Arabidopsis thaliana: one gene and its partners. The protein of the gene in region 2 interacts with the protein of the main gene of each other region in a pairwise test. Each region holds a gene or a part of one and is shown on either strand. Other genes may lie near its edges.

Region 1 (10,095 bases), on a different chromosome or scaffold from region 2:
ATATTTATTCTTACATATCTTTAAGAAAAGAAAAAGACAAAACGATTTTCACATAATCAATCGAGTTGCTTTGTTACAAATATTAGCACAGAGCCAAACATTGTTAGGACCATTGGTCCTATACACTTTAATGATCAACACAAATTGTTTTACTTTTACATCATACACTAAGCTACAAAAGAAGAGGCTGTAAAGCAAACGACGTCTGTTTCCGTTGTTGTTGGTCTGTTGATTTCATTGTTGTAGTAGTAGCTGTGGCGGTTGTTATGTGGTCATGGAGGATTAAGAGTTTCAGTGTGGCTGATTCACGCAGCCAAGTTGCTACCACCGAACCGCTTGATGTGAACCGTCCCATGTTGCATTTTGACAGGTGGAATGGTGCATCCATTCCCCTCAAAAGAACTTCAACCGCTCGTCTTAGTGCTCCGTCTCCAACCACTTTGCTGTGTTTCCCCCAGCCAGTCAATATACTGCCACAATAAGAAAAAGTTATTAACAAGTTTTGAACTAACCCAGATAGTGATAAAAGTTGAGGGGATCACAAAAGATTTGCGAAACATGACCACATCACATAAGCAAAGTATCTACAGAGACACTATAATCATAGTGTATGACCAAAAACTTCAACCTATCACAAGAAAACATAGCATCATCAAGGACATGCTGCATATCAGATTTCGGAAAAGAAGAGATTGGACTTAATTCTCGGGCCCTGATGGAGTTTTAGGAAGCAACCATAAAAGGAAAAGAGCCGGGTATTATAGGCCGGTTTAAGTTGATAGTTAAACCGAAGAGCTCTTTGTAGCTTACCTCAAGACTTTAGGTAACTCATGACCTTCATAGACAATGGAGCGTATGTTTAGTAGCCACGCATGGACCATTGCACGTGCAGCTCCAGAAGACATGAGGTGTAAGTCCAAGCAAGAATCAGACCACACGTTTTCCCAAACTTGCCTAGATCTTCCCTCAAGTGCCACCAGTTCTGCACCTCGTTTCTATAGCAGAAGGTTCCCAAAAGTAAGCCTTTGTACTAATAGTAACGCATTAAAAAACGGTTACAAAATTTGGCCTCTACAATATCAGTGTTATTTTACCTGGCCAAAGTGCCAAAGCATGTCAGTTAGGGCATTGTAGAAGGCAGAAGCAGTCGAACCATCCATTTCATTTACTTTGTCAAATAAGCTCTGAGCTTGGAGCCATACATTCTCTCTCTGGCCCATGAGAAGTCCATGAACAACACCATATACCTTATTATCAAACAGCCTGAGCTCCTCTAGTAGCATTGATGCATCTTCAAATGAGTTACACCGACTACATAGATACAAACGTGTAAGCAAAATAAGTATCCCACAGAAAATGGAGTCAAACAGCAAAACCACATAGAGCTAATCTAGGAAAACCCAAACTATTTGGTCATATCTTTCACTCGTTAACTTCAAAAAGAGGATCCAAAGGAGAAACAAACCTGCAAGCATTCAGAATCGCTGAAAAGGTTACAACATTTGGTTTAATTTCCAGCTGATGCATTTTGCGGAAAACTTCCAATATACAGGAGAGCTCCTGCATACCCTCCTCACAATCTTTCGTCGTTCGGTTGTTACTCTCAGTTGTTAACTGCCCAAATAACTGTATTACCCGATTACCCTCTGTTTCAGTCAATGCACTCAGAGCAGAAGAAGAGAAAGGCAAAGATCCACCATTGCTATAATCGGCTGATCTGTCCATAGTTGCAGAACGACCAAAGGCATCGATTATGGAATTATAAGTTACAACATTAGGACTAATTCCTTCCTTTGTCATCTCATCGATCAAAGAAACAGCAGAACCCACCAACCCATTCTTGCACAATGCATCAATCAATGCACTGTACAAAACAACATCAGCTCTTAATCCGGCGCTCTTAAACTCCCTAAATATCTCCATTGCCTCTTTATACAAACCCCCCTTCGAGTACCCATCGATCAAAGTTGAATAAGTCAGTAAGTTAGGCAACACATGCTCTCGCTTCATCTCAGTGAAAACTTTCTTCACTTCATCATATTTCCCTTGTTTCCCATATCCTCCAAGAAGAGCATTATAAGTCACAACATCCTTTTTAATCCCAACAGATGCCATTTCTCTCAGAATATCCAAAGCTTCTTCAGATCTACCAACTTTAGTGTAGATTGAAAGCAATGTATTGTAAGAAACTCTATCTAATGCAATACCAAGATATCTCATTTCACCAAACAAGTTAAGAGCTTCATCAAATCTTCCGGCTTTTGCAAACCCATCAATAACGGTGCTATAACTTACAACATTAGGCATGATTCTCTTAACTGGCATCTGAGCAAGGATTTCGAAAGCAAGGTCCATCTGCCCACCTTTGCAAATTGCATCCAAAAGCGTATTATAAGAAAAAACATCTTGCTCAATCCTTCTATTCGTCATCTCATCAAACAGATTCCTTGCTGCTTCCCACAACCCTCCTCTACTGCAAACAGCAAGCAACGAGTTGAAAGTTATTCTATCTGGCTGCACACCGTTCCTCTGCATCTCATCGAAAAACTTGGCTACTTGCTTAAACTCCATCCCGCCTTTACCGCAAGCGTCAATCACAGCATTGTAGGTAACCAAATTCGGCCTCAAGCCATACTCTTTCATGGAGTTGAAGACACTAATGGCTTCCTCATGTAGCCCACTTCTCCCATAAGCGCTGATCAAAGCCGAGAAGGCGTAAACCGTGTTTCCATATCCACCAGCAAAAGCAGTTTCGAAAATCCTCTTAGCAATAGTTACTTTACCATATCTACCAAGAGTACTTATCATAGCACTAGCTAACTTCCCCTGCTCGTTCTTTCTCCTCTCTCGTTTAACCGCAAACTCATAAAAGCCAACAGCTTTATCGCACTCATTACGATTCCCTAACTCACGGATTATATAGGTACAGTCGTCAGAGCCACACAGCTTTGACTCAAAGCTCAACATTAGACTATGAAACATCTCATCGTCTCCAGAGAAATCAATAGCGTTTTGAAGTGCATCTTCAGCAGCAGAGCTATGTCTCGTAGCCATTGTCGTCTTCTGCCGCCCGAAATGCATCTTGGAGACGAATCTAGTCGATCGTCTACCTGAAAAATCCGATGAAAGATCGGATTTTGGGGTTTGGAGAGGCGAAAAGTTAGGAGGTTGTGATAGTTGAGCTGGAGCTACAGTAGCTACAGATGAAGGCGGAGGAGCTGAGCCACGAGGAGAAGAAGAGGCACCATACGGACGGTGGTTGTAGTTTGGGTTTTGCCTGGTCTGACGGTGGTTATTGGTGGCGGGGGAGACGAATCGGGTAGATTGACGACCGGAGAAATCTGATTTGGGGGTTTGCAAAGGAGAGAAATTTGGAGTAGTCTGTGAAAGATGAGCTGAAGAAACAGAGGCTGAAGAAGAGGGAGGAGCTGAGGTAACGGAGCGACCGGGACGAGGACGCTGAGGAAGCCATGGACGGTGGTTGTTGGTGGTGGTGACCCAGTGAGGCGGCGTTGACGCCATTGAAAGGAAGAGTTTGTGGTGATTACGGAATCGAAAAGAGCTACATATGGATAGGGTTTTTCATTGCTTCTTTGGAATTCGTAAAGACTCAAACTTTTTTTTTTTGGATAGGTCTTTTGGAGATATGAGCCGATAGAGAGAGAGAGAAGATGAATTGGTAGGACTCTCCTCCTCTGCTTCCTAGAAAAATGATTTTTTATTATTTTGCTTACGAAATTGATTAATTTCACTAAAGTCATGGTTACTTAACTTTCGTCTGTTTCTTTCATTCTTATTTGTTTTTGCAATAATTGTCACATATTTGTTTTCCAATTGTGTATCTGTTCTGTTAAATAATTTGTTTATCAGACTTTCTGAGAGGAGATCTGGGGAAAGATATGGTATTGGTTAAGCTTTATGCGACCAACTCTCACCAAATTATGTAATCAACCACCTACCTATTGACGAGTAGAAAGAACATTTGGATGTTGCACGAGTCATTGTTCCACCTAATATAGCAAAAAAGTAATGTAGAAAGCTGAAACAATCTAAAAACTCTGATATCACTGTCTTGTTTTTATATAAATGTAGGAACCAGAATTTTCGAACTCCAAAGGAATCCTAATGTTCCAGATGTCAAACTCTCAGTATTCCGACAACGATTTCAGTGCCAAGATATTAAACGCTTGCGTCACAGAGTGAACATATATCTGAATTACTGCCACACAAAACTTCTCGAAAGATGTTGACATTTCTGGTCCAACATTATCTTACATGTGTAATATAAGATCAACAGTTACTGGCTGCCATAGAGAATGTATATTATTTGTCTCTCATCCAATTAAACCATTATAAAGCTCTTTCACAAGACATAAATACAATTGAAATTACAAACAAAAGGAACCGAGAACACATCACACAACAAGCAAAACTCATGGGATCATTCAATTGTTATATTTCAGTAAAACTAAAACCCGAGAAAAGCTATTGAAATGAAACCATAAATCGAAGATCGAAGTCAATGTATAGGTTAGATTTCAGACCCGAATGCCTATCTATATCGCACCAAACAGCAAGAGGCAGCATTAGAGAAACACCAAGATCCTTATCAAGAGGGAGAGCCAGAAATAGCAATGAACAACTACATATAACTAAGGCGTGATAAATTCAACACAATCATAATCAAAATTCAAGACATTACAAAGAACTTTCACAGGATAGGACTACAATTGAAATACTCCTAAGAACAGCTAAAATCACCGCATTTCAAACAAGAGGAACGGAGAACAAACTCATGGGATCAACCCTTTATATGGTTGTCACTTTATTGAGAACATATCAGAACATAGCTATCGAAATGAAACCATTAATCAAAGTCAAACACCAAGATCCTTATCAAGAAGCAGAGCCAGATATAGCAATGGACACACTACATATAACTAATGTGCGACAGATTCAAGTCAATTACACAATGATAATCAAAATCCAATTTCTCAATGGAGTGAAATTGAAACTGCAAACAAAAGATGGGTTCTTATCTGTTGAAGCAAAACACAGTTTCTCACTATTAAACTTTCATAACATTTAGTTCTTAGCTGCAGATTGTTAACTAAACAACATCGAATAAACCTCATGAGGAAATACAAAAAACTGAAAACACTTGCCTTTAAAGAGAAGGAACAAAAAACCACTAATTCGTGATACTCTTCTTGCTACCACCACTCAACATCTCGTCAGGAATTTTCTTAAGCTGCTTCCTCTGCTTCTTAGACATAGAAATTTTCTTCAAAGTCTTGGGATTTGTAATCTTCTGCAACTTAGTACCAGTTCTCAAAACATTCTCCTTCTTCCGCTTCTCTCTCTCTTCCTTCTTCTTCCTCTTCTCAACCTTATTACTCCTAATCTCTTCCTTCAGCTCATTCACCCTCTCCTTATACGCTTTCTTAATCTCCCTTTGCCTCTTCATCTCCTCCAGATCTGGTTTCCTGTTCTTCACAAACCTCCCTGAAGATCTATGAGTTCGCGGCTGTTTCCAGTTCCGTCCGGAGACTTTCCCGGCGATTACACCGTCGTAGGTTGGTCTCTCGACAGCTAGAGCAATAGGTTTGTCTGGATTTTCAGAGGAAGCGACGGCGCTACGTTTCGCGGCAGGAGGAGCACCATCGATGTCCATGGAAGCTTCATCGGCGATTGCTTCGGCGGCGGCTTGTTCTTGAGATTCGCGTTTGCGTTTGTAGGTTTTGCCGCCGAATCCTTCGTCAAGGCACCGGAAATCTACGGTGCAAGCCATTTCTTCTCTTCTTTGTGTGGCTGTGAGGTTTTGGCAGAAATTTAGGGTTTCTCGACTATTTATATGAGTGAGGATGGAGACAGGGTTAAAATTCCGGTTTTTTAGCCGACCACATAATTATAACCGAACCGAACCGGAAATTATGTGATTCATCAATTACTCTGTTTTAGTGCAAACACCTTCTCTTTTAAATTGTAGAAAACCAAATCAAATCTTTTAGGTTGTGAATTTGGATAGAATTGGGAATAAATCCATGTTCGTGATAAAATATTGATTCAAGCTATTAACACAAGTTAGTACCGCAACAATAAATCCAAAGTAATCTTTTAGAAAAAAATTGTTAATAAATCTACATTATTACCAAGTCAATTTAAAATAAATAAATAAATTCAGAAAAATAAGGTCATTGGACAAACATCCAACCTCTCTAGTTGACTCAAGGGAGAAAATATCCAATCTCTCTACAAAAAAAAATCAATAAACCATAAAAAATAATGAAAAACAAATTCCTAAAGTTACTTGGGTCTCAAGCAACATTGTGACATTATGAGGAATGACCAGAGCTGCTTCTACCACAACGGGTTGGAGAAGAGAGAGCAAAGCAAAGTTTTCCACTTCCATCTCGAAAGGACCAGATTTCAATCACGTCATTGACTTTGAAGATTTTTTTATCAATCACATTGTTCCAACCATGACTTAACACATATTTCCAAACTGTATTACCATTCCACTTCTTTAAATAAACGACATGCTTATCCGATTCAGGATCCACCAAAAACACTTTCAAACCATCCCTTTTAGCCTTTAAAAAGTCTTCATCTAAGAATCTGGTTTCGTCCTCTGTCAAAAAATCTGACTTCTCTAATTTGCTGAGATGCATTGAGAGACACCCCTGGTTTTTACGGAGATCAGTCGTACACAGCACCCTCCTCTTTATGATCAGCTTTGGATCGTATCCATTCTCTTTTCTCATCACTTTCACGAGCCAGTCTGGTATCGAAGAATTGCATGTTTCGGGACTATCAGCAGGACATAACGAAACGATGTCGCTTTTGTTCTGCTGAGAGGGGCTCGGGATGTCGAGGATGATTTTCTTTTTTCCTTTGAGAACTATTTGAGAAAATTCTTCCAACATATCCAGCTTCCAAAACTTACAAATATCATAAGCCTCCATTGTGCGGCCAGAGAACTACAAGAAATTAAGGAAGAGGTTTAATAACAAGCTTAAGAGAGAGATAGAGAATATTATATAACAGAATTTTTAATTACGTTCTTACTAAGGATTTGCTCTTGTTTTTTTCCCAATCTTCCTTAAATAAGTTATATATATATATATATATATATATTCTAGTAATAAATTCTTATTTTAATAATTTTCTAGTGATAAATTTTTATTTTAGTTCTCACTATTTTAATTTTTAATTTTAATAATTAGGTGAAATCCAGTTAATTAACGTTTTTTAATCAAATTTTTGTTTTATTTCATTTATTTTTCCCCTAACATAAATAGGTTTTAGTTTCCAAAAGTAAAAAAAAATTGGATTAGTTTATTTGTTTATCTTGATGAATTTTATTTTTTTGTGAAAGATTAGTTTCTTTATTTCCCAAAGCAAAACATGTTTATCTTTTGTCATCCATGACCCAAGAGAAAAAAAGTTTTGTGTACAAAAATTAAAATTAGGAGATAATGGAATGGTCTAGTGGAAACCGAAACATTAAACTGCCATTAGTATTTTCATGGTTATTAATGATTGTTAATTACTATTTTGATGAACTACCGTTCAAAGTCTTTGACTTTCCTAAAAATTTCAGGAATCTCATTCTCATCCGTATATTATCATCACCTATTTTAGCTTTGAATTTAACTATAAATAAAATGTTTGAAACACAACAACGGAAACAAAATTAATTAAGAAAGACCTTCTTTGTTCACAATATGGCCAAAATGACAATAACACACATGAAGTTTCTTCAACTGTTGTTATCTTTAGTGCTCTTTGTATTCTCAATGTCAAATGCAATGCCAATCTCAGACGTACATAATTTTTGCAAGGAAACGTTTGAAGTAGAATTCTGCATGAAATACATTGGGTCGGACCAACGTCTCGTAGCCGCACGCGACTTCAGTGACATGCTTTTAATTCCGGTAACGTTATTTAATGTGACAATTTTGATTAGTGATATGTCAGATTAGTTGATCACATATATTACCAAAAAAGGCAAGATATTTGTTCAGTGTTGGTAAAATTAGGGATAATAGTATAGATTAGTTGAAAATTTTCACCACACCAGTTCTTGTAAGATTACATGGCCTCCAAAATACTAAATAGAAGTTATAGAAATCTGTGGTTTATTCATATTCTACAAAAGAAGTATTATTTTTGGTTTGTGATTGAGACCTTCTTATCAGATATCTGAGACTCAAATTCAAGTGACCAATGCAATCACACAAATCAACAATATCCGCCAAAGGTTTAATGACACGCTTGGAAAGAATCGGATCGCTCTATGCGAGGAAAAATACGAGAGCGCGGGCACTAGTTTTCACAAGGCTTGGGAAGTCGGACAGAAAAAGTCAAATTCATCGACGGACCATATGGAAATAACCCGAAACACGCAAGCTGGCTTTGATGCTGTGTGCGAGTGCGAAGACGAATGGGCAAAGCATGGTCCGAAACAAGAGTCTCCTCTCACTTTCTATTACCATAACGTTCTGAAACTATGCCAAATTACTCGTCTTATTATCAGCAAGCTTTAGGCTTAAGTACGTCGTATTGGAATTTGATTTATTTACGATATTAACTGGTTTAGCTTATTCACTCACACGTTTATTAACACCGATTGTTCTCTGCTTCTAGTTGTAAACCCGATTTTTGAAACTATATGTATTTATTGGTTTAAATGAATAAAACCTTTGTGATGTTTTTGATAATTTATCATCATTCCGTGAAAAACATGACGTTTTAAAATCTCGAGTTTCGACGCAATTTGTGGTATACACCTGAATGAGAGTTTCAAGCAAAAACTAAGTCCGGAAAAATGCTAAAGATGTATGCTAAATTAGCACAAATTCGAAAGCAAAAATAGTTGTCTATGATGTCTTTTTGGAGATGCATGATGCAAATATAGAGTATTCTAGATTTAGTAAGGAATCTCTTGAAGAGATTCTCTTCCATACATTATCAAGAGTTTCCTTTTTTATATATGAGGAAAAGAAAGCATGAAGACAGAGGACAATTTCCTATCCATAAAAAAAGGAAATTATCTATTGCTATTAGTACGAGAATAGGAAATTGGCTTATTGTATAGCCACAACCTATTTAGTATAAATATGGTGCTAAAGTTTTGGAAAAGTTTAGCACAAAAGAATAAGAAAATTCTAATACATTAAGGTTATAAAGTTTCTTGTAAGAAAGAATAACGCTTAACAGGGCTAAGAAAAAAACACAAGAAAACACTTCTTGTTTCTCAAAATGGCCACAATGCTAATAAACCACATGCTTTTCCTTACGTCGTTGTTAATAGTCGTGTTTCCAGTAGCAAACGCGATTCCAGCCAGAGACATTGACAAGTTATGCAAAGAGACAACTGATGTGCCCTTCTGCCTCAAATACCTTGGGACAGATCCACGTATACCAGCCGCACGTGACCTCACTGACGTGCTTTTAATTGCGGTAATGTTATGAATTTTATACATATATTGCAATTTTATTCGAGTGTACTTAATCTTGTTTATGTTGGAAACTTTATCAGATAACGCAGTCAAAAATGCAAGTGGATGACGCAACCACTCATATTGATAGAGTCCGTCGAAAGTTCAATGGTCCTCATGGGAGGAGACGGATCGAGGTTTGCAAGACGAATTACGGAATTGCTTCGGCAAGGTTTCACACAGCTTGGGAACTTGGACTTCAAAAATCGTTTTGGGACGTGGAAAAACTGGCAAGGATTGGCACCAACGCTGTGATCGACTGCGAAAACGTATGGAGAAGGGATGGTCCGATACAAACGTCTCCTCTCACTTTCTATAACATGAATGTTTTCAAGCTTTCTGGAATCATTCTTCTTATTTTCAACAAGCTTGTGACCTAATTGTACCGGAATTTCATGGCCACGACACAAGTGACCTTTTGTGAAAAGGACGTTTCGTTTGTGAAAGTATGCCAAATTCATTAACGTTCTCTCGTAAAAGTCTTCACTCTCTACTGAAGTTTGTTACTCCTTTTATTCCAAATTATAAGTTTTTTTTTGGTTCTAAACACACATTTTAAGATTTGTTTTTATTATTAAAAAAACTATCATTT
Region 2 (12,795 bases):
AGTCTCTGTACCGAATCTTTTAGATGAAGCGACCGATTACATCGCAGCGTTAGAGATGCAGGTTCGAGCCATGGAGGCTCTCGCCGAACTTTTAACCGCAGCCGCACCACGGACGACGTTGACCGGAACTTAACGGCGGCAGTTAGTTTGTCAGTTGTTAATTAGCTTTTCTTTTACCTTTTTACCCCTTTATTTTGGCTTCAAGTGTTTTTTTTTTCTCGTCGACGCGATTTTAATTTATTAAATTCATGTATTTTATTTGTATACATCATCACTTCTTTTTTTTTGTATCCATTTTGATCTTTCTTTGTTTTTTCGTTAGATAATCAAAGTTATCTAAACAATAACAACAACAAAATGCCAACTAATGTCGATTCCAAAAATTGTTTAACGCTTTAAAAAAAAATTAGACCTACAAATTAAAGAAACTAAAAAGTAAGGAGAAGAACAAATAATTTGCAAGTTGAAGCAATTCAAAAATGAGCATGTGCGTGTAACGTGTTGAGGACACCCACCTTAATTTTGGGGCCAATGGACTCCATGTGATTCTCAAAGACTTTTTCCGACGTTGAAGTTTATGTCGAAAAGTGTATTTTTTGCTCAAAATGCCCTCAAAATCTTTCAAACTGATTAGAAAAAAACATTTACTTGAATGTCAACATTAATTATGATAACAAGGAGTAGCATACGACTCTTCAAGAGAACTGACATTATGAAAAATTGATGATTATGGTATAAAATACAAGTTAGTAAAAGTTAGTTGTCAGAAGAAATCCACTAGGAATAACATTGAAAGAAGTGGTGAGCAAAAAGGACCACAAAAATGGAACCAAAAGAAGAGGAAACAATAAGATTGAGAAATGAGTCTCTTGGAACATCTTTTTTCCCTCTTTAAGACTCCCCACGTGTGCTCTTTCTTTTAACACCCAATATGTCTTTCAAAAGCATTCACACCTTTTTGTTGTATATCAAATTAAATGGCAACATGTTTGTGGGTCATTGTGTCTTCCAAGTTATATAAGAAGATTTCTCACAAAATCCATCTTGATAAGTCCTTGGATCGAGCTTGGAGGATGTGCTATAGGTTTTAAATATATATATTTTAAGTACATGTTAGATGAAACTTAAAAAAAACTAATTTATGGTTGTATTTCAAAGATATTTGTCAACTGAGATAGATAGGTTATCCAAATGTCATCTATCGACATACTGCATCTTTTGTCCTTTTCTAGTTTTCTTAATACGGCTGATATAGTTTTAGATAGTAATGTATTCATTCACATGATATGGTTTTTGTGAAGAAAAGCGGAATTAATAGTGAGGCAAATATGTATAGGTATGCTTTTGTTAATTAAATAATATAAATGCATCGAATGATAGCTACAAAACAAACGAAAAGAAAAAAGAGGAAAAAAAGAAGAAGGAGAAAATGTGGAGTTGGCCATATGTGGCTAAAAGGTAGACCCAATGTGATCACATGCAACCATGTGACTCCAATTATGAACCTCATATGTGAATGTGGCCGAGGAGATGCCAAATTTTCAAGAATCTCCTCTTTCTACAACGCTATTTACAAACAAAAGCAAACACTAGTTTTACATTTACAGTCCATACTTATCGACTCGTAAAAAACAAAACAAGAAAAATACAAAATTATCATCTTATTCTTACCTTGTGTTTGAGTTCCCTAATTCCACCAATACTCCTCACTTTAACGTTATGGAATCCGTAGAAGAGAAGGAAAATGCAATCGGTTCAACCGGCAGAAAAGACCGGACCAGAATGTTGAGTAGTGGAAACAATGGGTCCGACGATTAGAGAAGCAAACAAAAACCCTCTTCGACAAAATTTAATTCAACAAATACTGTCATCCATATCTTTTCTTTTCATGTACGTTTGATTATACACGTAAAAGACTTTTGCGTGGTGTAATGAGATGGAACACGTGGCAAGACAGCATGCACTCGCACATGTACTTAGTCAGACAGATTTCGTTGTCTTTGAACTGTGCTCGTGTTTTCTCGCATTTCCGCACGTGGTCTCAAGTCAACCATTATCCACTTCAACTCCTACGATTTTGTTTCTATATCACTACCTCCATACATATAACCAAATTTTGAATGTTACTATTAGATCGTGTTGTGAATCTTGCATTCAAGCTTCTTGGACTTGCCTCTAACAATTCACTCTTCATGGATTCCTCCCGTCGAGTTCCATTTTCACGACATGATGATAAAGGAAAACATGTTGACAGATAAACTGAAGAGTAAATATATAGTTATATTTTGGTTTTCCAAAGAAAATAAAAATTAGTCAAATTTTTGTTTTTTTCTTTGATGTGCAGTGTTAGAATTTCTTCCTTCCAAATAACTTAACTCGGAATATTATTGAGAGGCTATAGACAAGCAAACTAGTGTCGGCCTTCCTTGATGTTTAAGGTCCCAATCTAGAGCAATGAAAAACAAGACAACTTTTTTGAGAAAAATTCAATCTGCCTTTATAAATCGTCTTTTTTGGTTACTTGGATCTGTTACGTTTCTACAATGAACCAAATTAAACAACTATGGTGTTTTCATTAAGCAAACTAAACAACTACAGCTATATAAGTGGAGATATGGAAAGGGGTCATGTTCCTACATTCCAGAACAAAGGATCATATCTTTATTACTGTGAAAGAAATGACAATTTTTTAAATAAATAAAATGTAATTTCTTCAATTTTGTTTTTTGTAATTTTACAATGAGTGCAACATTTTAGTAAATGTTTTTATGCTATTATACAAATCAAACGAGAATATTAAAATGACATAGTCACGAAATCAAATTTATTGAGAGTAAGCTTGATAAATCAAATTTAGAACTAACCAAATCTTTGACTTTCTTATTTGCTCTCACATTCCTGAACAGTTAGATCAATCGTACTCTCCAACTTTTCTACGCACAAAATTTAAAAATTTGATAGTTTTTCTTTTCATTAAATAAAAGACGAGAAACGGTTATATTTGCCTGAGTAGAAACCGCCGATAACAACAAAGTGGAAAATATGGCTAGTTTGTATTTTTAAGTAATTTCTCGATTTAATTTACTTAGGACAAAAATGTATTTATAGAGAAATCGTGCTTTTATTTATTTATTGAGAAGATTCTTTTTTGTTGTTTTGTAAATATTTATTTAACATTTTTATTGGTACAGTGACTTATGTTTTACAATATAAAGGATTTATAAAAATAAAAATTATTTTTCTTTGTCTCTTAAATATGGATATACCCAAATATCATTTTCCATAAAAATTCGGTGTTATCCAAATCTCAAAACCCTATTTTTCATAGATGTTTTTGTTTCTCTTATAAATTCATCACTGAATCTCTCATGCTCACCATTAATTCTCAGCAATAAAAACAAAGAATGAACGATTCAATGAAAGCTCCAAAATTCTTTAAAAACCAGCTAAAACTAGCGGAAGCACATTATCAAAGAGGTAATCTAAAAGGAGCCATTGAAATCGTGAATGACTTAACGTTTGGTCACCCAAACACATCTTCAAACCACCATGAGATCTCACAGATTCTCCTCGCCTATCAAATCAACTTGACTAGCCAAAAAGCCAGTTTCACACACTACGATATCTTGAGAATCTCAAATCCGTTCTGTAGCCATCAGATGATTCAAAGAAAGTACAGAGACATCTTGGTTAAGCTCTACCCCGACACAAATAAATCTATTGCCGCCAAATCAGCTTTCGAGATTATTAATTATGCGTGGAAGATCTTGTCCGATCCTGAAAAACGAAAAGATTACAATATCAAAAAAAGGTTTAAGTGAAGATGATTCATGTCTCCAGAAGATCATGAACCACATCAAACAGTGAGGCAAGGGTTTCATGTCTTTCTTGGGAATTGGAATACAAAACCTATTTGTTCTTCTTCTTTTTTTAGGTTAATTTTATGATTTTATTTTATTTTATCTAGGTATTAATTCCAAGTAAACTTGTGACAGTTTGAAAGTGCTAATGGATATTTTTACAAACTTTTTTTGAATTTATTTAAATGCAAAATTTACAGTTTTGCTGCCATAATAATTATGATTTGATAAGAAAAGTTACGATTCTAGTAGAGTTTGCTTTTCGTTGGAATAACGTGATTATATTTATTTTATTTTAATACAAGATAATTACATATAATGATATAATATGTTGCGAAAAAAGTCTCTGATTCTTGGGAGAAAAGATTCGAAAAGAAGGAAGGATCCAACAAAATCCGAAATTATTATTAACTGAAAAAACAAAAATTTTGCGCCAGCGTGGCAATACTTCTCTGTCAGGAGGAAGGATCCAACAACCAATAAAACTCCGACCCGGATCCGAACCCGAAAGCACCAGACGACTCGTCCTCCACGATCCCAATTTCTCCAATTTCAATTTTGCCAAAGAGCGAGAGAGAAGGAAGAAGATCCAGACGAAGTGGTTTGCCTTCAGGGAACGAGAGAGAGAAAGAGATTTTAACAAACGATGTCGCTGAGGCCGAGCACACGCGCGGAGCTAAGGAAGAAGATATACAAGACAGGCGTCGATGCCGATGAGGCCAGGCGGAGGAGAGAGGACAATCTCGTCGAGATTAGGAAAAACAAGCGTGAGGATAGTCTTCTCAAGAAGCGTCGTGAAGGAATGATGCTTCAGCAGCAGCTGCCTCTCGGAGCTGGCCTTGATGGTCCCCAGACCGCTGCCGCCGTTGAGAAACGAGTAAGTTCCCTTTGATCTGAATTTCGATACAATTGTGCGTGATTTTGTGATTTGGATCACATGATTTGATTATTTAGTGATGGATCTTTGTTTGATTGTTGAAAAAAGTGAGGCTTTGATTCTGTTTCCTACCTCAATTCTAGATCTCAGCTCCCAATCTCATAATTGACCATCAAAGTTTAGTTTTTTGTTTTTGGGAATTTGTTTATGGATATTTGGGATTGATAGCGGATCCTGGATGACCATGTATGCTGATCGCAATGTATAGTGTGCTTTAGTTAGATATCGGAATTTCTATCTTCTGATCCGATGATCTTGTCAATGGATTGGATGTGTTACATTTCTAGCCAAGGAGAGGTTTTCGTTTCTGTGGAAACAACTGTTTGATTACGTTCATGTGCTTTTGACAGTTAGAAGGTATCCCAATGATGGTACAAGGTGTTTATTCTGATGATCCTCAAGCTCAGCTAGAAGCGACTACCCAATTTAGAAAGTTGTTATCTATAGGTAGGTATACATTTGTTCCTTTCAGAAGCAATTTTCTGTTCTGGGGTTGTATGTGTGTAATAGACTTCTGATGGTTGCTTGTAACACGGTTTGATAAACAGAGCGTAGTCCTCCAATTGATGAAGTGATCAAAGCTGGGGTTATCCCTCGATTTGTGGAGTTTCTTGGAAGGCATGACCATCCTCAATTGCAGGTATGTCTTGTACTTCTTTCATTTTTAGATTTGTTCTTTATTAATTGCACCTTGAAGACTCAAGAATAGTTTGGTGGCTTAATGAAAAGTTTGTTTGCAGTTTGAGGCTGCATGGGCTTTGACCAATGTTGCGTCAGGAACATCAGATCATACTCGGGTTGTAATCGAACAGGGGGCGGTTCCTATCTTCGTTAAGCTTCTTACATCTGCTAGTGATGACGTTCGAGAGCAGGTTTGCCACTAACTAGCTAGATAACTGCGTGCTTCCATTTTGTATATGTGACCTGGTCCACCTGGATACATGCCTCTAAGTTCCGTGGTCGTATTTGGTTTGTTTGTTGTTTGTTTTGATCCTTAGTGGTTTTTCGTGATATAGTCAGCCAACTGCTTTTCCGTAGTCATAGGTGCTATAACTTTTTATGGCTTCGTACAAACCCTTACATGATATCATTGTAGGCGGTGTGGGCCTTGGGAAATGTTGCTGGGGACTCTCCAAACTGCAGGAATCTTGTTCTCAACTATGGGGCCCTTGAGCCATTGCTGGCTCAGTTAAATGAAAATTCTAAGTTGTCCATGCTAAGAAATGCTACATGGACCTTGTCCAACTTTTGTCGTGGTAAACCACCAACACCATTTGAACAGGTATGACTACAGGAATGGCTTCTCTTTGATTTTTCTGGACAACTTATGATTGATGGTTCTAGTTTATTTATTTATTGTTATTATTATATTTGTTTCGTTGTGTTCCTTACTTTACTCAAGCCTAGTGTTGGTTATTCATATGTTTCAGGTGAAGCCTGCGTTGCCAATTCTTCGGCAGCTTATCTATCTGAATGATGAAGAGGTTCTCACTGATGCTTGCTGGGCTCTCTCCTACCTTTCAGATGGCCCCAATGATAAGATTCAGGCTGTGATTGAGGCAGGTGTCTGTCCACGACTTGTGGAGCTTTTGGGGTTAGTTCTTTTTTTCCTGACCAATAATTGACTAGACATTATTTTTGTTTATTTCTCATCATATTTAGTCTCTCTATAAAAGTTTGTCTATCTCAATAAAGGTGTTGGTATCTTCAAATTTGTGATGCTTTTTGAGTATCTTCTGGCAACTGAATGTTGATGTTCTTACTATCTCATATTCTTGTTCCTTTTGTTTATTTTTTTTTTCCTTGGTGCATCTATACTAATTAATATATCTTTCTTCAAGTCATCAATCACCTACGGTTCTCATTCCTGCTCTTCGAACTGTTGGGAACATCGTAACTGGTGATGACTCTCAGACACAGGTATGATTTATGACGAACGACTATTTATGTTGTTTTGGGTATTTGTTTTGAGATTTTGACTATGACTGTGTCTTTGCTTGTCAGTTTATAATTGAGAGTGGCGTACTACCACACCTTTATAATTTGCTGACGCAAAATCACAAGAAAAGTATAAAAAAAGAAGCTTGTTGGACTATCTCGAATATTACTGCTGGGAATAAACTTCAGATAGAGGTATGCGGTTTTTTTGTTGCTATCTCTAATATGTCAAGAAGACGGCTGTTCATGGAAGATATTCATTTCTGATTCTGGAAGAAAAGTGAAGAAGTTACTCTTTTCTTAACTTTTTAGTAGAGCGAGCTAATTTTAGTACTTTCATATTTTCCAATGACTTCTCTGCCTAGAAACCTAATTATACCCTATTTGCTACTGAAAATATTGAGATTAATTAAAGTTTCAGAGGCTAAAAGCAATTTTTTAATCAGTTTATATATTTGAAACAATAGGCTGTGGTTGGCGCTGGAATAATCCTCCCTCTTGTGCACTTGCTCCAAAACGCGGAGTTCGATATAAAGAAGGAAGCTGCTTGGGCTATTTCCAATGCCACATCAGGAGGGTCACATGAGCAGATTCAGTATGTCATCTCTATTCTGAAGCGCATTTGCAAACAACTAACTTCACTTCATAGTGTTCCTTCTTAGTCTTATACCATTATCTATCTCGAAATCGAAAAATGCCATAACACAGTTTTGCATGCAGATATTTGGTGACCCAAGGCTGCATCAAACCACTTTGTGATCTTCTAATCTGCCCTGATCCAAGGATCGTGACAGTGTGCCTCGAGGGTCTTGAAAACATTCTCAAGGTTGGTGAGGCTGACAAGGAAATGGGATTAAACAGTGGGGTGAATCTCTATGCTCAAATAATAGAAGAATCTGATGGGTTGGACAAAGTCGAAAACCTTCAATCCCATGATAACAACGAGATATATGAGAAGGCCGTTAAGATATTGGAGAGATATTGGGCTGAAGAAGAGGAAGAACAGATTCTGCAGGACGGCGGGAATGACAATTCACAACAGGCTTTCAATTTTGGGAACAATCCCGCTGCTCCCGTTGGTGGATTCAAATTTGCCTGAAAAAGGTATACAGTAGTACAAATTGAAATCCTTTGGTTTGGGAAACATGAGATTCAGCTTTTGCAACTGTTATTGACAATTGCCAGGTTCAAGTTCGACTTTTTGAGTTCTGGTGCAAAAAGGCTTATTTTTCTGTTTTTTTTTCTTTTTGTTGTTGATGTTGTCCTTATTTGTCTGAATCATTCTCTGATTCTGTATCTTAAACTCTGCTATGAATTATGTGTAGTGTGGTTTCTGGTTTAGGATATGGTACACTTTGTATTTGTCACTTTAATCTTTGTCGTCGTTATAGTTTAATAACTTTTACTTGGCAAGAGTACAAGTACAAGAAATATTTGATTGCAAAAGAGTCTTCTTGTCTTGTTAATAAAGTCCTCAAATGAATTGGTAAAGGAAAGCTTTAATCTCATCAATATAAGGAGACTTTGTAGGAATGATGTGGCCAAAATCGTGCTCAACAATGGTGGCGCAACCATCTTCAAACAACCCCGCCAGGTCTGAGCTGGCTTGAGTCACAATTTGTCTGTCTTTTCCAGGCTGACTTCCGAATATGTGAAGTGAAGGGCATTTAATCGATCGTTTCTCCTTCATCTCCAACAATGGCCACGGTGTGAAACCCGAGCACAACACGCAGAATCTGAAGTCTATTTCACCTACGAGCTGCTCCTGTTTCCCACATACAGCCGCAGCCATTGCTGCACCTTGAGAGAATCCGAGAATGCCATCAAAAGGCCCTTTCTCTTCAAATGCCGTCTTCAAGTATGTCAACGATTTATCAAACCCTTCAGTTTGAGTCTGATACTGCAATGGATCGAACTGGCATTGGGCCACTGTCCAGCCTGTTTCACTCGGTTTATCAAAATCTGATGACACCAACCACGCAAACTTCTTATTGCATACTCCGGATGGAGGGGTAGCAGTTTGGTAGATGAACTGTAATTCGTGTGGTGCATCGATGAACACAAGCTCGGCAATATTCTTCAGTTTCTTTGCTAGTGATCCGGTCCTCCCTTTAAAGCTAGACGCGTTCTGCCTAAATCCATGCAAGCACAAGATCCTCAGCTTCCGTCTTGTATTGTCACCTGACCATAGAAGTGAATTGACAAAGTTTTCAGGGGAAAAGGGACTAGAGAATTTTGAAAAATCCTCTGATGTTTTAAACATTTGATCCAAAAATGAACAAACAGACCTTACCATTGCTTTCAGAAGGTTGGTTTAAGGGATCAAGACTCAAAGGGACTTCCCCTTTTCCGTGTTTACGACACAGCTCACATATATATATATCTCCTTTAACCTGCAATAGCACATCATAAGTCCAAGATACACAATCCTTATGGAGTTGATCAACAAAAGTGGTCTGGGTGCATTACCCGACAATGATTGCAGACTAAAACAAGCATCCGGCATAATCTGCAACGGCAACGTGGAGAATAGTCGTCAAAGGTATTGTTGCAGAGAAGGCAGCTGCCTATTATATCCTCTTTTGAGCTCCCAACTGAGATCCTTTAAATCCGACATCAAAATAAATGTTACCTGGACCTATAAAAATTGTTTTCCTCGTAGATTAGAATAGAAAGATGCTAGATATATACCGGTGATCAAACACAAAGTTCTTCCCTTTGAAGAACCCACCACTGGGAAATTGTTCAAGGTATCTCTGTATGCCACCATAGAGCTGCAAGAAACAAATAACAGATGGAGTCAGCCAAGTTCAGTGACCTGTATCAAATCCATTTGCGATCCAGGATCTCACCTGAAAAGTATTCTCAAATCCAGCACCTTTAGATCTGATATATGCAGATGCCATTTCACATCTGATTCCACCAGTGCAGTACCTGATTCGCCAACAGATGAGACTTCAGTGATGTAGAAAGTAAACTGAACAAGAAATCTCCGTATGTCACAAAACTATTATTCATACATGAGCACGTTTTTGCCCTTCATTTTCTCGGCATTCTGATCAATCCAGGTTGGCAAATCGCTATATTGCCTGATTTCAGGATCAAGGGTCTCCACATTTTCTGATTCGAATTTTCCAATCCGTGTCTCGTACAGGTTCCTCGCGTCAAGCAAAACAAGTTCCTTATTCTCAGACTTCCCATCTCCATCCAGATGTTCAGCAGAGTTGCAAGGAAACGTAATCAGCTAAGAAACGCAATATAGCAGTAAGTAATAAAACAAATAAGAAACTTACTGGCACTCTGCAGGACCGAATGAAACTCTGCAGCAGAGAGATGCTTCCCAGCATTTGAAATTTCTGGGGGTTTAAGGGGAGGGCAAGGACTAAAGGTCACTAACTCCTGCAAATCACAACACAATGCCACATATCTATCAAAATGCTGAGGAAGTAAAGTCATAGTCTAAGAACCTCGACACAATGACAAAAAATTCATCCATCACATGCAAAAAATGGAACTAAGTACAGAAAGAGAAAACATTTGAAGTCCGGAGAAGACAAAAAGCTTAACTTGACACCAAGTCATCGTTAATCTTGTAAAATTTAAGATTTAATCAGCACATACAACATCAAGGTCATCAGTTATGGAGACTATGGAAAGAATAGGCATGAATTTTATAAATTAGTAGAAAACATTCAGTCAGATGAGCAAGGAGATCATAACATGAATATTTTTATCATCCCCGCAAATGAATCTTACGTGTTCCACAGATAAGAACTTAACATAACATTAACTATGTTTGGTAAGAAAGATAAGACAATAACCTCAACAACTCGGATGGAGAGTGATGTAAACCCACATTCCTCAGCAACTTTGTCATTCAAGGGATGATGGCAAGATGCAAGCTTGAAGTCAGTCCCTTCAAACAAACAATTCGACTTTGCAGCGGCAATATGTTCCTCCAATGCAGTTAATTTCCCACCAACCTAACCAATAAGCAAAGTTTTCTATTATCCCAACCGTATAAACAGAACTCTAGCAAAAGCTTCAAACTTTTGGTGTCTACTTCTTTAATGGTTAAGATGGATTACACTCGTAAGTCGTAACTATACATGGAGAACTTTAATCCTCAATCAAACAACCAACAGAACACAGTTCAAAAGGGTTAAGTTTTTCTTTTCAGTTCTCTCACCACATAAAGGGTTAGAATTTTCGATTCATGGCTTTAATACTCAATCAGACGCGAACCACAGACGAAACAGAGAACTCAGAAAATGGTCAAATCAAATATAAAACATTGGATATGTAGAAAAGGAGATTAGAAGCATACAGTAACATTGACGCCTTTAGGGGAGAGCCTGACTCGGCCGAGTAGACCTAATGAGTTGCAGCTAGATTCATAGAAGGAAACGAGCTCATCTAGATCAGGAACAGAGGTGTACTTGTAGTACAGCAACACACCGTATTGCTCTTCATCTTCAATTCTCTGCTTCTCGTGATCGCCACACGAGCTCGTTCCCATTAGGGTTTCTCTTCTTTCCACTGGGATAATCTCAGGCTCTTGGCGTCGCGAAGATGGAACCAGGAAGCCAACACTGTTTCAGAGCGCGATTTGGAAAACCACGTACCAGAGGTGGACCAAACCGAACCTTGCTTAAACCGACATTTGTTTATAAATCGATTGGTTTAATTTAAAAACCGAATTGAACCGATTGATTTCCAAGTTGCCATAGCTTAGCCTTACAAACTGTAACATTGTGAACATAGGGAAAAAGCGGTGGAGATGGGTTTATCTTTGTTCTCTTGAATAACATAGGTCAGACATTGTTGTTAACTCCATTAGAGATACTGAAAGCAAAAGACATATCTAAACAAAAACAGAGAGATTACAACTTCTATTGATATCTTTGGCTCTCGAAAATCGAATGCAGCGATCAGCCTTTGCACCTGTCAGTTTGGTCCCTTTTTGTGTTTGGATTCAGGGACTAGAGGCTTGATGCAGAGTTTCGGCTTTGTGCTAACGAGTCTATGTGGAAGCACTGAAACAGCAGCTACAAAGGAGCCACTTGATATTCTAGAGAGCGGTAACAGTTCCACCAGAACACATAACTGCACATTTTTACTCCAATCTTTCAGACTTTATAAACGCGATGATGCAACGAAGATAGAATTATTTTCTATCTATACACACTACCTCTGGAGATTTGAGATCCACAACTGAATCTGGTACAATGTCTTTCACTCCAGCTGCCACAGTTTCAAAGCATTTAATGCGGTCCAGCAACGGACATTGAACTAGAACATCTGAAGCGTCTTTCCGAATCTTTCCTTTCGTCTCCTCCGCACCTCTACGTTGATACCCAGCTGCAAACTATATGGTGGTATGTGGTTATTAACCATTGCCATGAATCTAACAATATTCATAACATATACGCCTATATAACGGAAACTCTTTCTTACCTTCACAGGTTTTGATAGTGTATTGTCTTTATCATTGACAAACCGCTGAACAAGCTTTGATACTGTTTCCCGAAGTTCTTTCTCTGTCAAACCACAAGTAGCTTGAACTGGGAATATCCGATGGCACCAGCTGCATCAATGAATCATAAGTTACTTGTTTCGACACAAAGACATGCTTACATCAAGGGAATCTGAGAAGATAATGACCAAAAGTTCCTAGCAGAGTGGATAAATAACTACATGGTCCAAAAAGAATGAAATAGGTCTGATATGTAACAGATACCACTCTTTGGGATTATAAGACTTGAAAAATTATTCGAGACTAAATCAGAACTCTATAAGCATGCTTATTTCAAGGTAGAGTTGAATTCTAAGGCAAGTGGCGATAAAATTCTGATTAATCAATTGACCAAAGGTTCACTAACTAGCATTACACCAGATAGACTTACATTGGTGCCTTCAAAGCTCCAGATTCCATAGACTGGAAGACTCGTGATACGATATTCGTTGTATTGGGAGAGTTTTCAACAGGGAAAGTAAAGAGAAGCAAGCCACTCTTTGTTAGCTTAACCAATGACATGAGAGAATTGTGTTCTTCATTTG
Region 3 (9,727 bases), on a different chromosome or scaffold from region 2:
TCTCAAATTATAAGAATTTCGAAAAGCTACTCACTTCGTAAATCATTTAAATTCTGAATTACAGACGTCGGTAGGTCTTTAAAGAAATAAAACTGATAAATGGTTATAGGAATCGGTCATAAACTAAAAAGATCAACAAAATGTTCGTTCGTGTTTACTCGAATTTTCTTTAGCTTGTGAGCTTGATGCAGAACTATATATGTCGGTACTTACTAACCCTTGCATATTTGTTTACATGACTTGGATTATTAGGATCCAAACATATTTCGTATATAAAAAATTAATCTAAAACGCTCATTAAAGCTTTTAGTTTCTCTTTAATGGTTATATATCAATAGGCAATAAAAGTTTTAAATGTCCGTACACGTCACGTGATTCCGACATTACTAGATCATCGGTGGTTAGGTTGATAGTCGCTTTGTGAATTGTGGGTGCAACTAACATAATTTTACTTTCTCTTTATCTTAATCTCAAAACTTTCAGAAATAAAACCTAACCGGAAATAGAACCGTACAATTTCATATATCAAGGATTTTAACTTATATTGTAGCATGCTCAACTTGGTTTTGCGATGTTTTCATATCTATTATTATTTCAACATATTTTCCAAATTATTTTATCTAAATAACTTACTTATTTGCAAATTAATTAGTCTATAAAACATATCTTTTTTTGGTCATAGGTTATTATTGTACATACTTATTAAATATTTTTAATTTTATTGTATTACATATTATAGATACATACTTGAAACTACGATCACAATAGATATAAATAAAAACGATTTTATGAAAGAGAATTCTCTCTGCAACCTATCTCAGTCTGGAAAATATTAACCTGAGAAGATTTGGATATCGCAATCTTAAAAAGTTAAAATTATGTCAAGCTCAGATAGCTGTAAGAAAGAAATTTCTTAATTACTAAATATTTAATCTTTTTACCATGTGTAGATGATTGATTAGGATCTTATAAACTTGTACCCAAAACGACTTTAGCACCCAAAAAATAAAAGGTTATATCATTTCATTAATTTGTATGCTCATGTATAACACGTCATTTATGTGGCCAATATGGACGGTCCATGTAATCCAGACAAAATTGTTCGAGTTGTAATTCTTTGTTTGGTATAGCGTTTTGTTGGGAAGCAACCGAAACAATCGTTTTCGAGCAAAGCCATTTGCAAAAACTATGAAAGCCTTACGAAAAGAGAAAATGATGATAGTCAACTATTATAATGCTCTAATAGTTGGACCCTAATTGTAATAGATTTACGTATAAAAAAAAAGACAAATTTTGGATAGACCTTGTATATCAGATTTTCCAGCACATGTATAAAGCCGTGCAGGTCTATGTACATATCTCGATACACAGCTATATGTCATGCCAATACATATCTCGATTAAGATTAGCTTGACTAGCAACCTAAGTCCACAACTACTACTATTGTGAATGACTAGACTTTTAACTCGTTTAATATATTGTTTGTGTTAGAAAGATATAATAGATTTTAAAAGAAAAAAAAGATTTGAGAATTATGTATATAAAACAAAAAGAAGACATGTTAATTTGCTTCAATCATATCATTTCGTGTTAGTAATTCTATATCTTATCATCCACTTTTGACTTATTCAATTAACTTAAAGTATCATAGGAAAGAACGAGATAGCACGTCATATTAAAATGGATGGATGTGATTCACACTTGCACAATTCTCGTCTTGCGCTAAATTTCTGTCCAATTTCGTCTGCCAACCTACAACTTACAAGGTCCAAAAGCCCTTTAATATAATTACGCATTATTAGTATTTTCCAATGTCAAGAAAACAATAAATGGACTATAACTCTCTGCTTAATGCCTAAAGGGCTAGAACAATTAGTCAATTAGTGGATAGACGATTTTTTAGAGGTTTAAATAGTTTTCAAATAAAAATAAAATATATTTCTGTATTAATATAACATAATAAAAACAAGTTAATAGAAATAAATTGTATATTTTAAATTAATCAAAATACATAAGCAAGAAATATGAGTATTCAGTATTCACTAATTTTAAAATACATAAATTTAAAAGCATTAGGCTAAATTCACCTATCTTACCAAAATCTATCTAATACAATTAATCTGCATGATAACTGGATAATCTGCTAAATCTAACTAGCTACTTAAGAGGTGGTGATCTACGCCTAGAACGTCTAATCATGATTTAGGAGATTTTAAGCGGCTACACATTTACAACATAACATATTATAAATATTATATTATAAATAAAATTCATAGAAAACTATCTCTTAGAAAAATAAAAATATGAAATTATAAACAAAACTTAGATAAAACCATTTATAATTCATAGCAAACAATATATACAAAGCTAAAACTTATAATTTAAATTGATATAGTTGGAAACAAACAATATATACAAAGCTAAAACTTATAATTTAAATTTATATAGTTGGAAACAAACAATATATACAAAGCTAAAACTTATAATTTAAATTTATATAGTTGAAAACTAAAAAATAAACTAAAATAAAACTTATGGAATTTTAGACAGCCAAAACGGTTATTTAGATATCACATAAACGTCTAAAATCTAGATGACGATCAACTAGGGATGTCAGACGGGCGAGCACGCGACCAAATGGGGGGTCCGTGATGGCCCGTGCTTCTTTTCCATAAGTGGTGGTCCGGTCCGCCAACGACCACATGCGACCAATCGAAGCCCATATTCGCCTCGCAATGTCCATTGGTCTAACGGTCTGGCCCGCAATCCTGTTCTGTTCTAGTTGTCTCTGAAACACACTGTGTTGTTCTCGTCTCTGAAACACAGTGTTGTTCTCGTCTCTGAAACCTTCGCTTATGGAGAACTTCTGTTCTATTGCATGCCTTTGAAGACAAGAGACTTTGACCGTAATAAATGGTTATTCCACAAGTTTTGTAATTCTGTGTTATCACCAAACACAAACTGTTCAGTCTACTCCATCGTTAATATCTAGGTTCACCATTGAATCTTCCACCAGCTATAACCAAACAACGACGAAAAAGAGATGTCATAACTATTTAACTACACAAATAGCATCTAAAAATAGCAACAAAAAAAATCAAAAACTAGTCATTACTTAGTACCTATGAAATTGTTTCCAAATGTCTCCAATTAGAACCTTGGATCCTTCAACGATGGTGATACTACCAACACCACCAAGGACGAGATTCTTCAAGGCATTGGAACCAATAGGACCACAATTGAGTAAACAGATACTCGCTTCTTCCAAAGTCCCTTGACTTCACCTCAAAATCCTAATCAATCAACGATTACTTCATAAAATTTCCTCCCAACAAGATTCGTTCGAAGATCGATAGAATAATACAAATGTAGAGTTCGAAGAGACTAACATAGTATACATGAGTTGACGATCGTACTTGGCTTTAGGTTCCATCATTGTTAGAGATGAGAGATCATATGTTCGTAAGTCGTAAACAGAGGAAGAAGAACAAGCGCGTCGTCCACAAGTCCGCAGACATTAATAGATAAACCATGACTAATCCACAATCCAAAGTTCCAAACGCACCCAACCCGCAATGCCCGCTCTTTTTTTGGACTCCCTTATACAGGCCCATACCTACTCTGCAATATTACTAAACGGGCCAGGCAAAGGCCCAATTGATATCTTTACCATCAACACTTTTTTAAAACATTGATTTTAGTAAAATTTATGTTGTTTAGGAACGTCAAACGCTTAAATAGCTTTTGTTTGACTTGTAGTTTTGCAAATATATAACTTCTCTTTTGACGTATAAAATAAAACTGAAGAATCTGAAATTTGGATAACATGTTAATAATCTTCTTTTACCATTTTTTTCAAAAGTATTGTAGTTAAAAAAAAATTGATTATTGTAAGAAGGGGAAAAACATGAAGGACTACAAGTCTACAACGATAAACTAACGCTGTCTGGTTCCGGTTTACAGTTCAGATCCAAACCCAAACCCTGTAACCCGACCCGATTAATCTCATCGAATTCTCCGTCTCGAACGCCGTTACAATCCAACGAGTTTCTCAACCCAAGATTCTGACTCCGTTTCCTCTTCTTAGACGGTAACTCTCCCTCAGCAACACCGCCGTTAACTTTCGCAACCGTTCGTGTCGCCACGTGTACTCTCCGTAATATCTTGAAAAACTCATCCACCTCTTCCTCCGTTACCGTCCGAACAACTTCCGTCGACGGTTTCCCTCTGTTACCGTCAGATTTTCCGTTATCTTCTTCTACGCGTTCTTCTTTCTTCAAAGAGTTGTTCATGTTAGCCAGAAGAAAATGTTAACGGCGTCGTTTAAGCTTAGTCAAGAAAAAATTATTTGCTGATTTTATTTTGCTAAAATTTATAATGAAACTCTTATAGCCGTCGGTGTGGAACTTAGACGGTCGATATTGTCAACAACTAAATAAATTGGACGGTGGAGATTGATGCTAATGACATCATCATGCGATGTTTTAAAGCGTAAGTATCATGACGTCACACTTTATTGACTTTTGGAATAAAGGAAGTCCATGTGTGGAAAAATTGGTATCGGCTATATTTTTAGAGTATATGTAAGAAATAACTTTTGACTTCAAAAGAATACACAAAATAACCTTGGACCAAATAGTATTTGTCGGCTACAGAAATTTTGGCAATAGTTAGTCTATTTTAGCCTTTCTCTTTCTTCTTCCTTCTTTTGTTTCTTTTTCATCTTCTTTACGAGACTTTAGCCATGGAGTTCTCTTTCTCTCTTCATCTTTAACACAATTCATCTTCTTCAGATTCACCATGTCATTTTCTTTTTCTATTTCTCTCTCCCTCTCCTAAAATAATCTTCACCACCTCTCATAAAATATATCATCATATCTCTTTATTTTGTTCACCTACATGTTCTCTCTTTCTTTTTCCATAGAAATCTCTCTATCTCTCATTCTTTATTTTCTCTTTTTACCTGAATTTTCCGTCAATGTCGTTGTGATATAAGAGATTAGATTTGATTTTAAAACAAATGTCTGATTTTAAAATGCATGTATTTTAAGAACAAAACATGTTATTAACACTGATATATTAATATTTGTCATGCTATCCAATAAAAACTCATGAAATAAATAAATATTTGTCATGTTATCCAATAAAAACCCATGTAATATTGTAACAATTCTATATGTTTTTTTAAACTTCGCGATCTATAAGAGAATTGCATGCTTTTTATAAATATTTCGTGCTATTTCTGAGAAACACATTATTTCAGAGAAACATATATATCGTGTATATATATTCTGTATGTATTTTAAAGAATTGCATGATTTTTGTAAATATATCATGCTATTTTAGACAAATACATATAAACTTTATAACTAAAGCCAATGGCATTATTGTAAAAATAAGTAAACACAAGGATATTTTTGTATTTTCTCTTTTTCAGAAAATGTTATTTACCTAACTTTTCTGACACAATGTCATTCTCTCAATTCTTTTCCATTTCATAGTTAGTTTCTAATATTACCCATATTTTTATATACATAGAGATCTATATTTTTATAATTTAACAAAGACCAAAAAAATTTGGCCAAACAACAAATAAATAAGGAAGACTAAGAACTTGTGAATTGTGATCATCGTTAACGTGGGGAAGATTTTCTTGCGATTATTATTCCTAGTCTTATTTATTTATTTATTTCCACTATCAATTTAAAATGACACGTAAATTTGTAATGATTTTTCGAATAATGTAAGCACTAATTGATATTGGTGTTTTAACTTTTAACAAAAGAAAACAAAGATCTACATATGGGCCTAAAGTAAAAGCCTTTTAGTTAAGTACATTATAATTGGGCTTTATATCTTAACAACGTCGAATCAATTGTAGGGCCGACGTGGGCGGCTAAGCTGTTTCCAACTTTCCAACTTCCGACCAGCTCCACTTGTGTCTTTCGCTCTCTCTACACTTATGTTTTTTTTTTTTCAACTCTCTGTTTTGTCTGACGTGTCCACTTACTAATAATTTTTGAAAAAACTTTCCACATATAAAAATTGCTTGATGGTCGTCGTCGATGGCTGCATTATTTATGAATGTATTAGTCCACATGGTGAAATGTCTACATTTTAAACACCACGTGACACTGATAATCCGACACTTGTATGTGTGAAATCAATGTAATGATCCCTTACTCTTTCTTTTTTGTTTTTCTTTCAATAGAACAAAAATATTGCGAATTTATCTAATAATGTTTCTGTAATACTAAAATTATTTTAAAAGTTTTTATTTAATATATTGTTAATTTGTCTAAATTTTGTCACGACCGTTTTTCTTCATGAATAGTCTTTGACGTAGTTGAACATCCATTTTGTATACACTGTTATAAATTTGCACACATTTTGTGTTTCAACAATTTTTAAAAAGTATATATGTAGTGTACAACTTTACTTTATTATTGCTTTACTTTTTTTTTGTCTATTGTCGTTGAAAAATGACATCAAATGAATCTGTTGCCTTCCTTACGTAGGAAACGTTTTGTTGAAATAGTAATAATTAGTAAGGGTCATTGTATATTGGTGGAGAAAATGTTTTTCTTACTTCTGTAATTGCATCGTCTTTTCTTCACGTAGGGTAGGCAATCACATGCATTCAGGCGTGCGTTCACTGTTTTCTTTTTTCTTCTAGCTTTTTGTTTTCCTACTATATTGTTGCAGAAAAATGTTTAGTTTAAACTAAATTAATTATCCAACTCTTTAAAGTGGCAATCTTGTAAATAAAAAGGGGAGTAGGTCTGGACCAATGTGGCAATGCGAGCGATATGTTAAAAAAGCTGTGGAATAAACAAAATTTTGGAAATTAGGAGTTCCTTTCGTTTTATGGAATTGAAAGAAAATGACACTTTCAATATTTTTTTGGTATTTCTTTAGTAAAAAATGTTTTAAATTTTTAATCGATCGAATCGTAATGAACCTTACAAAAAAATCATAAAATTTGAAGTTGATATATAAATTTTAATCTAGAGATGTTAACTTTTTGGATTAATCTGGAAGCGACCTGTTTTAAGTTGTTTCAAAACTATTAGGACCGAAACCAAATAGAATCGAGCAAAAAATGTTAGAAATTTTTATTTTATTTTGTGTTCTTTAGGTTAACCAAATGTTCGTTCATGGTGTAAGATATCAAATAATGGATGAGCTTAACCTCTAAAATACAAGTTTAAATTGATCGGTTCAAATCGGACCGAACTTAAATGATTTTGCAAGTTATTAGAGTGATCATGATCATGTTATGTTACGGAATATTACAGAGTAACTTAACTTAAGCACTGACTTAGTTGACCCAAAAAGAGACCATTGACTTCATGAAATGCTTGAGTGTGGAAAAAATAAAACAGAGTTATTCAAAAACGTTTTGAGTTGTGAATTATTCTCATTAACATTGTATTTATTTGGTGCACAAAAAAAAAAAAAAAAAAAATTGTATTTATTTATACCCACTAAAGATGGGAAGAAGACTTGTAAATTATGATGAAAAGTCCCTCGGTTGGTAGCAACTAGCAAATGTGGGGATGGAACAATCCTCCACGTTCGAAATTGTTCTTCTTTAGCACAATCAAGATACTGCAAAGTAAACTACCTCTAATGTAATTAATTAACCTCACAAATTGTTATGTTAATTAATGGTATTGAATTATACTCGTCGATCTTTTGTAAGATATTTTTGTTGAATGCCGAAAAAATTATCAGAATCTATAATTGATGTTTTTGTTTAAGAGTCAATTTGGGAGAATGAGTTAAATTACTATAGAATACAAGTATACATCACATCAAATAATATGAATAATTCACTAAACAATGAAGGAGTAGTTACTAGTCACTCTCTTTTATTTATTTTTAATTAAAAAACGAATATATATGTTATTGTAGTTTAATACTATTAATAAAATAAAATTCTATTACTTCACTTAGCTAAAAGACCCACAGTGCAGTAACAGTGAGAAGTAAATTTCATGAATAATGTATTACAATACAATAATAACTTGTTCGATACAAAGTATTATTCCTTTCACAAACTAAATTTATTTACCATATATCCATAATATAATTCCAAAAATAGTATGTTTTATTACCATATTGTAAAAGGGAAAAATGTCATTTAAATCATCACTTTACCATTTTCGTTGGTTTAAAACATAAACTCTCGATTTGGTGATTTAAATCCTCAATTTTATGTTGACGTTTAATTTAATCACGAATTCTCGTTAACTAAGCCAATTAAGACACATCGTTAAAAAATTTTCTAATTAAAATTTTTGAGTTTTTCTCTATTTTTCTTCAGAATCTCTTATCTTCTTTGGAATTTCTCTTCTTATTCGAATTCAAAGTAATCTTTCATCTTTAGGTCGATTGACGATACCGGGAAAAAAAATTGTGTCTCAATTGGCTTAGTCAACGAGAATTTGTAATTAAATTGAAAATCAACATCAAATTAAGAATTTAATTCACAAGATCCAAAATTCATACTTTAAACCAACGAAAATGATAAAGTGATAATTTAAAAAACATTTTCCTTATCCCTATTGTAAAACTATTTTCACCAATCTTAACCGAAAAAATGAAATAAAACTGTCCAAAAAAAAAAAACCAAATGCTAATAAAAAACGAATTTAATTTCCCATCTTCGTTTTTTTTCTTTCTTTTAATGCTTTAATAAATTTTTATTGAGATCTGTGTTTGAACAATCGTTTCTTAAAAGATTTTTAACATCTTTTTAAATTCCTCGGTCTCTTAAATTTACCAGTTACATAACTTTCTTTTATTTTTCCGACATAAATTAAAAGTTTTGTCTTTGGTAATAGAGAGGCAGAAAAATCTTGGCCATAGATTTGTCATCTGTTTTCGATTCGTTTTGATTCTTTACTTTATCTTCTTCTTCTTCTTCTTCTTCCTCTTTTTGAATCTTTTATCTTCTCACTTTTCTTTTTCACTTTTGGGAAGCTCGAAGAGCTGAGAGGAGTGTGAGAGAGAAAAGGATCTTTGAAGTCGCCGGAATAATTTGTTTAACCGGAGCTCTGTCTTTGACTCTACGCTTCTCTCTCTTCTTCTTCCTTCTTCGTCTTCTTAATCGCTTTCTGCTCTGTTTTTCTCGTTCATCAAGCTACATCTACTAGCTCTCTCAGTGATTGATTTCTCACAGTTTCATCGATTTCCATGCGTTTAAGACCTAAAAGGTAACTGGGTTTGCTAAAGTTTGTTACTTTGAATGGTTTTTATAGTTTCTCTGTTCGAATCTGAAGTGGGTTGTTGTGTTTTTGCTGGTTATTGAAACAGGACTTGTTCTGGGGTAAAGGACTTTTCTTGTTCTTGAGAGAGTTCATTTTGAGGCTTTTCTGGGAATTTTGAGAGGTTTTTTAGGGTTTAAGGGGGTTTGGTTTTGAATTTCGCACACCAAGTGTTCGATAAAATGGCTGAACGAAAGAAACGCTCTTCTATTCAAACCAATAAACCCAACAAAAAACCCATGAAGAAGAAACCTTTTCAGCTAAATCACCTCCCAGGTTTATCTGAAGATTTGAAGACTATGAGAAAACTCCGTTTCGTTGTGAATGATCCTTACGCTACTGACTACTCATCAAGCGAAGAAGAAGAAAGGAGTCAGAGAAGGAAACGTTATGTCTGTGAGATCGATCTTCCTTTCGCTCAAGCTGCTACTCAAGCAGAATCTGAAAGCTCATAT

What was found.
Region 1: the proteins of IMPA-4 (region 2) and AT2G31410 interact in a two-hybrid assay, tested with the Arabidopsis thaliana proteins (one large-scale study listed by BioGRID).
Region 3: the proteins of IMPA-4 (region 2) and NIMIN-2 interact in a two-hybrid assay, tested with the Arabidopsis thaliana proteins (one large-scale study listed by BioGRID).

What each region holds. Positions count from the first base shown.
Region 1 is NC_003071.7:13,387,029-13,397,123, forward strand, and holds AT2G31410 (coiled-coil protein), read right to left. Parts: upstream 5,900-10,095; 5' UTR 5,792-5,899; coding exon 5,192-5,791; 3' UTR 4,853-5,191; downstream 1-4,852. Other genes in the region: GUN1 (s uncoupled 1), read right to left, coding at 173-470, 811-995, 1,095-1,311, 1,466-3,522; AT2G31420 (B3 domain protein (DUF313)), read right to left, coding at 6,336-6,965; AT2G31425 (Plant invertase/pectin methylesterase inhibitor superfamily protein), read left to right, coding at 7,728-7,937, 8,202-8,549; PMEI5 (Plant invertase/pectin methylesterase inhibitor superfamily protein), read left to right, coding at 9,265-9,465, 9,545-9,883.
Region 2 is NC_003070.9:2,990,000-3,002,794, forward strand, and holds IMPA-4 (importin alpha), read left to right. Parts: upstream 1-4,331; 5' UTR 4,332-4,506; coding exon 4,507-4,737; intron 4,738-5,147; coding exon 5,148-5,244; intron 5,245-5,345; coding exon 5,346-5,437; intron 5,438-5,537; coding exon 5,538-5,669; intron 5,670-5,893; coding exon 5,894-6,079; intron 6,080-6,227; coding exon 6,228-6,391; intron 6,392-6,638; coding exon 6,639-6,717; intron 6,718-6,801; coding exon 6,802-6,930; intron 6,931-7,202; coding exon 7,203-7,330; intron 7,331-7,455; coding exon 7,456-7,834; 3' UTR 7,835-7,839; exon of another isoform or gene 7,840-7,920; 3' UTR 7,921-8,209; downstream 8,210-12,795. Other genes in the region: AT1G09250 (basic helix-loop-helix (bHLH) DNA-binding superfamily protein), read left to right, coding at 1-133; AT1G09260 (Chaperone DnaJ-domain superfamily protein), read left to right, coding at 3,405-3,821; AT1G09280 (rhodanese-like domain protein), read right to left, coding at 8,210-8,916, 9,029-9,128, 9,205-9,337, 9,427-9,509, 9,588-9,669, 9,756-9,936, 10,029-10,134, 10,557-10,718 and 1 more; AT1G09290 (uncharacterized protein), read right to left, coding at 11,683-11,841, 11,927-12,103, 12,193-12,322, 12,642-12,795. UniProt on the Arabidopsis thaliana protein: Binds to conventional NLS motifs and mediates nuclear protein import across the nuclear envelope. Acts as a cellular receptor for the nuclear import of the virD2 protein of Agrobacterium and is essential for Agrobacterium-mediated root transformation.
Region 3 is NC_003074.8:9,466,598-9,476,324, forward strand, and holds NIMIN-2 (NIM1-interacting 2), read right to left. Parts: upstream 4,443-9,727; 5' UTR 4,293-4,442; coding exon 3,924-4,292; 3' UTR 3,760-3,923; downstream 1-3,759. Other genes in the region: AT3G25880 (NAD(P)-binding Rossmann-fold superfamily protein), read right to left, coding at 2,995-3,016, 3,123-3,278, 3,390-3,436; CRF11 (Integrase-type DNA-binding superfamily protein), read left to right, coding at 9,455-9,727.